Linked DNA regions of Daphnia pulex. The protein of the gene in region 2 interacts with the protein of the main gene of each other region in a biochemical or structural test. Links are inferred from orthologs where the notes say so. Each region holds a gene or a part of one and is shown on either strand. Other genes may lie near its edges. The genes, in order: TGF-beta-activated kinase 1 and MAP3K7-binding protein 1-like and mitogen-activated protein kinase kinase kinase 7-like.

Region 1 (4,303 bases), on a different chromosome or scaffold from region 2:
CCCAACAGGAGCACGACGCCATAGTTGACTAAACAGTAAATAAATTTAAACATTATTATTAAACATTAACAGGCATATTAACACATGGAAAACAAAAATATAATTGATAAAAAACTCAATGTAAAGACAGAATATTTACCCATGGTTGCGAACTGGCAATACGGTGAAGAATGCAGATGGTGAGTGCGCTGCAGTTGTTGCCGTGTCGGATATGCTCACTCGACTGATTTTCCTTCAGTTTTTCTCTCTCCTTTTATACTATTTTTTTTCTCACCCTCACCTCTAAAGCCTTGCGGGTGTTGTACCTGCTTGATAATGATGCAAAACGTCCGTCCTCACCCAACCTCTACACCACTGCATGACACGTTTTACGTAAACGTAATGATCTCCGTGACCTTCGAGTGTGACTGTCCTTTCCTTCTGCAGTTTGACGTTGCTGGGGATGGGTCCTACAACAACCAATATCAAAATGAATACCAAATGGTTATGTAACACGTGTCGTTCTCACCCAACCTCTACACCACTGCATGACAAGTTTTACGTGCCTTTCCTTCTGCAGGTTGTCGTTGCTGGGGATGGGTCTACAACAACCAATATAAAAATGAATACTAAATTAAATGATTATCGCTTAAAACTCACTTTATACAAATTTCGAACCGTTTGAAGGACAGTCGGCTTTTTTGAAAATATTCCTCTGTCAATCTTATCCAAGTTTCGAACACATGATCAATCCATATTCATTTCATGATGTCACTGTTTGTGATGAGCAATACTGGCGCCATGAGTCAGCATAGCAGAGAGGTAGAGGGAAAATCGTGGACTGAATCCTTCAGGTCCTCGGTTTCCCGTTCTTACATATCGAACAATTTCTTGGCTGCAAACAGAAACAGGGAATGAATTCAAGCCAATACTGTAGAAGAAATTTTTAATCTGAAACCACCTTCCTACCAAACCCAGTTAGAGCCCGTCTGCCTGCGGTAGTGATTATGGCAAAGATAAAGACCACATGTAATAAAACGAAAAAGTATAACATCAACATGTAATAAAACCAAAACTCAAATTGACTACAAAATAGAACAATTTCGAATCGAAATACGAATTACTCATTAAAGCATAATGTTTACACAGTTAAACATTTAGGGATCTCAATTCTCAATAACGTTGAACAATTCAGTATTCAGGAAAAATGTGCTCAATAACGAACATAAAAGCTTTAAGAAAGGCATATTGTGCATAGCACATCAAATCCATCAAATATACAATGGAGGTTCGATCTTCCTAGTAAAAATGTTCTTTTAGCTTGGAGTTAATCAAGTCATTTTTATTATAAGTTGACTATGACCATTTCCATAAAAATTGAAAAAGAAAAAGACAAATGCACAATACTAAAATAGTGAGATTCCAGCTGACGGGGGACCTAGCTGTTGCCAAAAGAGAAAAGACGAACTACGAAAACGAACTGCTGAATTTTAAAAATCAACCTTGGCGGGAAATATTTTTGTGATAGTTTTCAATGTGAATAGCAGATGGCGAGACCACTTTTGGTAAACAAACTAGCAGAAGACGACGCTTCGTTCACTAATCATTAGCACATTAGGTACTTCACATTTCTGTTAGGACTGACGATAGTGTTAAGTGTGGTGATAAGTATAACAGAATATCTACCCTACTTTAGCTTTAATGAACTCTGCATAATACTGCAAACCTTGATTAGCCATTCTAATGTCAGCAGAAATTTCTGAAACTAAAAGTTGGACAGACGACCTACCCGTTTGCTTCTACACAGGTTTTTAAATAAAGCAAAATCTTAGTCCGATAATTGAATGTGTCTTAACTTTCTTTTTGACAGGTGTGGGGTTATCAACAAATCAGATCTATAAAGAAGATGGCTATAGAAGAGAGGCCCGTGAATGTGAAGATAGAAGTTTCCACTTCAAAATTGATGATCACACATTCCTGTATGGAGTATTCAATGGGAAAGATGGATCTTCTGTGGCAGATTTTGCTGCACAGCGCATGCCTGCAGAAATCCTTCTTGGGCAGCTCAATGATAAAACCAGCCCAGAAGCTGTGAAAGAAGTCTTAAATGAAGCTTTCCTAGCAGTAGAGCGCAGCTATTTCGAATCAATTGATGACTTACTGGCTGAGAGAGCAAATCTTTTATGTGAATTACCTGAAGGTATTGTCTTATACAGCATGACCTGACATTTACCTTCTTTACAAAAACTCTAATCTTACTATAGGAATCAAATCATATGATGCATACCAACAATTTCCGGATATTGTGAATCGACTAAGAGCTGCTAATGTTCGGTTGTCTGCGAGTGCCTCAGCTGCAGTTGCGTTAATCTTTAATGGTTGGTACCACAACAGCTTCAGTGGTTCAATACTACAAGCATTTCTATGATATTCTTGTTGGTCACTTGTATAGGTCACTTGTATGTCGCTAATGTTGGAGACTGCCGAGCTTTATTATGTAAAATCGACGCAGAAGGAGTTTTGAGAGTAATGCAGCTAACGGTAGATCATGATTTGACCAACGAGGATGAAGTGCTCCGTCTGTCGCATATGGGACTTGAAGTGGAAAAACTTCAAAGTGATTCAATTATTTTTCTTTTTTAATCTCAGATAATTAATTGATTCAAAATGATTTGTGCAGATTTGCCGAGAAAAGGAAGTCATTTAACGACTCGTTGCTTGGGAAATTATACTGTTAAAGGAGGCTACAAAGATTTCGATCTCTTCAGTGCAGCTAAAGCGGAACCTGTTATTGCTGATGCTGAAATCATAGGACCTATTAATCTGGATGAGTCTTGCAGGTAAAAAAAAAAACTACGACAATTATCTAATTCCGTAACAACCATAGCCATCTACTGTTTTTCTCTTTATTAAAGGTTTTTACTGTTAACGACTCAAGGATTGTACGGAGCGTTAGAAGAAGCGACAAATAGCGAACAGGCTAACAAAGAAATTGCTCAGATTGTTGTGGAACAATTTGGATCCCAAAGCACTATAACGGGTGTAGCTCAAGGTGTTGTCGATCGAATCGCACGTATTCATCACGATCATTATATGGAAGTATGGAAGTTTACTACTCTTGTCTTGGGCAAAGCTAATTCTGATTTTCTTGGCATGAAATAGGACCCAAATCATGTCACTTGCTGTCAACGAGATGACATAACATTACTGATTCGAAATTTCAACTTTCAACTGTCTGCTCCACTGAGTGCAAGTAGCACACTACGTAGTTATAATACTTCCCTCAATGCATACAGCAATGATTCCTCAACGATGGGATTGAAATTTGACACTCAGCTAAACACACTGTCTTCTACAGTTGGCAATAGTATTAGTGAAACGCTTACTGAGGCTTCTATTACATCTTCAACAGAGAGTTCAGAGCAAATCAAGTCAAATCAATCTCAGAATATGCTCCTTGATGAAGATGGGAGGATTGGTCCCTACGTGGATTTCACCAACTTTTATCAAGCTGTCAGAAAAGCAAAAGATGAAGGCACGATTCCTGAGGATGCGATATACTAATTTATAAGTGTTTGGCTTATAATACTGATATGTACAGGCGAAATTACCCCAATAAAATTAACTTAAGATTTACCTTGATTTGCGAATACTGTCGAGTTTGCTGAAGTCTTTTCACAGTTGAAGATTCGAGGAATTATAGAAATGTTATGAATTCAGTGGACTAATTGATTTGATAACATCTTTTCGGAAAACACTTTTTGCTTCGTCACACGACACGAGGTCTGAACACACTGAGTGATTTAAATTTTCTGAGAGCAGTGAATCAGTAAATGTTTTTGCTGCAACAATGCCAGACATTTCTTTTTCAGTGTAATCATTTTCCGTGTCACATTCTGAGACCGCCTAAAGCAAATTCTTGTAAACCGCAGTATAAATTTCTTAGAGACTTTTATTAATACTTTCGTAATAATAAATAATTTGTGAAAAATGAATTACGGATGAACGGCGTTCAGCGTTCTCCCTCGAGTTTGACGATTTTATACCAGCTCCTAGTGCTGCTCTGTCGGAGGATGCCATTTTCTTCCAGGAATTTGACACGAGCGGCTATACCCTTAATAATGACACCGCATATCGTCCTGCTACCACAGTCAACTGGAATCTGGGAATTTGACCAATAAGACGCAAACCACATTCTATACTCCACGACTCAACGACGAGAAATGAATAAACCTCATTGAAGAAGACTTCATCTACACAAGTTTGAAGGAAACTAAATGATTTCGTTTCAACTGGCAAAGTGGAGAGAGAAAGTCTAAGCTGA
Region 2 (2,371 bases):
TGATATCAAAGGCGATAAAGTTTTATGCTGGGAAAGTATATGGATTATATAGGTTATTATATGGCAAAAGAAATTCGAGCTAAAAGAAAGCTAGTCTTTATATGAGAAAATGAGACTACTGAATGTAAATATTATGAATCTTATTTTGGCCCTTATTTTTTATTATTAGGCGTAACATTCTACTAGGCTATCTCAAATATAATTTAATCAGATGGTTGCATGCATGCAACTATACTTTTTAAAAATTGTTGACAACGATATCGCTGACGCACACGATAAATATATCGCCGTCGCCTTGGCCGTCGCTGGTTAATAAGGTAGTAGCAGAACTTTCATATGTGACGATTGAAGTGTAACCGCCCACAGTCTGGAGAAACCGCGATGACGAATGTGGCGTAAAAAACGAAAGAAATCTCATGCGATGAAAGAAGCTAATTCAGTTTGCTTTTTTCCTACATTAATTACACGGACATGCAAACAAAACAACAAATATATTTTTTTAAATATTAATAACTGCTGGCAGCTGTTCTCACGCTTTAACGATTCGATCAAGGACTTTATAGTTGTTTGATTTAAAATATTATATTTTTTTGTTTTCAAATATTTTCCCGAAACTTTCATCTGCATGGTGCAGAATGTCCGCTCTGCCAAGTTTGGCGCCAACGAAGGAGGAACCTTTAAGTCTCCCGAACCAAAAAAAATGTTTTGGCTTACTTTCAAATGTTGTCATTTAGCGAAGGATTTACTCTTTTAATTTGTGTGACAATTCAAGCATCCAAGAATTCCATTCTATTTCAAGCGGACATTCATGACAACTTTTGGACATTGAATTCGTTTTTTCGAAAGATAAAAACAAACATGTTTATTTATGTTTCGTCTTCGTCTCGTCCTGAACGGCACCTATCATGGATGGATTTTGTTTATAGTCAACAGTCTCGTGGGCGAAATATTCGAATGAAAAGAGGTTATTTAAAAACTGGAACTGAAAAAAAGAAATGAAGAAGAAGAAGATTTGGGATCTCGTAATCCTTGCCTTGGGGCGACGATAGGCTGCGGATATATGTCGTCCATCGCACACTTCACACAAACAGCACCTTAACTGCAAGCTAAATCTAGCCAAAGTGTGGCCGGTCTCAAGCCAAACCTATAAGGCCACAAGAAAAATTTGGCGGCATCCGCAGAAAACCCTCTCAACCCCCGGTCGAATATTTCCGGGTGACTTGGGAAAAGAACTTGACACAGCATCTAACAATAAAGTATGGATGAAATGGGGAACGGTTTTACACGATAAATATATCAGAACAGTGAAAGACAAAATAACAGTAATTTTTCAGAACCAACTCGGCACCGTCATTTTTCAAATACCTAAAGGAAGAAAAATTTTAAATTAATTTGACGACGAGTCAGAAAAAATTTATAGAAATGATTTTACGCGAAAGAACGACCCAACCATCGTCAGGCAAAGGAGACGATCTTGATTGATCATTAGGCTGTGGAACTTGTCGCTGTTGTTGTTGCTGCTGCTGTTGTTGTTGCTGCATTTGGAGTTGTTCTCGATGAACTTTGCTGAGCTGCTCTGTAAGATTTCGTTGAAATTCGAGGAGGCTCTTTTTTTCACTTTCGAGCCGGACAAATTCTTCCACCGATCGCTGCAATTCCGACTGTTCAAGCGGCTGTTGACTAGTTCGCCGCTGCTCCGTCTGTTGTTTCTTTGTCTCTTCCAAATGTTCAACCAGCTCGTTGCAATATTTGGTCATCCACTGCAGCTCTTTCTGCACTTCCAAATATTCCTTTGCCATCTAAATTTCATGACAAAACAATGTTAGTCACGGAAAACAATTCCGGGATTGATGTGACCAACCTTTCGATGTTCTTCGTAGACCCTCATCGATACTTGACTAGTCGGGCATGGTGGGATAGGCCTCAGCGAGGGATGCAACAGGAAAAAGATTTCGTCAATGGGCTGCTCTCCAATGACATGATTCGTTTCACCTGCAATTCAAAAGAAAACAATACAAAAATCCAGTGAGGCGAATTTTCAGGCTGCCAAAATATCCGCAAGGTTTTTTTTTCTCTTCACGACGTAGTAATCTGATGCCTAAAAAGAGGCAGCTCACGTACAATAGAGGAAACACCAATAGTGCCAGCACAAGATTTCAATGTCGGTCACTTCGTCGCCGAGTTGCGACGCAACCGACTCCATCGCCGCCATGAGAAATTCCGCCATTTGATCACTAAAAGCCATTTGCATGGCGGTTTTATTCGACGAGAATTCGGTCAGATTTCGGCTCACCGTGTTCGAACCAGCGTGTTGACTGAAGGACCCTTTCCAACGAGACCTTGGGTTCCCTCTCTCTTTCTCCCGCACACG

What was found.
Region 1: of the proteins of mitogen-activated protein kinase kinase kinase 7-like (region 2) and TGF-beta-activated kinase 1 and MAP3K7-binding protein 1-like, one has a biochemical effect on the other in vitro, tested with the Homo sapiens proteins (4 studies listed by BioGRID and IntAct). The link is inferred for Daphnia pulex from reciprocal best matches to the Homo sapiens genes MAP3K7 and TAB1.

What each region holds. Positions count from the first base shown.
Region 1 is NC_060020.1:5,657,434-5,661,736, reverse strand, and holds TGF-beta-activated kinase 1 and MAP3K7-binding protein 1-like, read left to right. Parts: upstream 1-1,556; 5' UTR 1,557-1,722; coding exon 1,723-1,786; intron 1,787-1,849; coding exon 1,850-2,179; intron 2,180-2,243; coding exon 2,244-2,357; intron 2,358-2,431; coding exon 2,432-2,596; intron 2,597-2,659; coding exon 2,660-2,819; intron 2,820-2,894; coding exon 2,895-3,078; intron 3,079-3,141; coding exon 3,142-3,543; 3' UTR 3,544-3,615; downstream 3,616-4,303. UniProt on the Homo sapiens protein: Key adapter protein that plays an essential role in JNK and NF-kappa-B activation and proinflammatory cytokines production in response to stimulation with TLRs and cytokines.
Region 2 is NC_060025.1:3,031,469-3,033,839, reverse strand, and holds the end of mitogen-activated protein kinase kinase kinase 7-like, read right to left. Parts: intron 1,993-2,371; coding exon 1,862-1,992; intron 1,800-1,861; coding exon 1,433-1,799; intron 1,366-1,432; coding exon 1,358-1,365; 3' UTR 767-1,357; downstream 1-766. UniProt on the Homo sapiens protein: Serine/threonine kinase which acts as an essential component of the MAP kinase signal transduction pathway. Plays an important role in the cascades of cellular responses evoked by changes in the environment.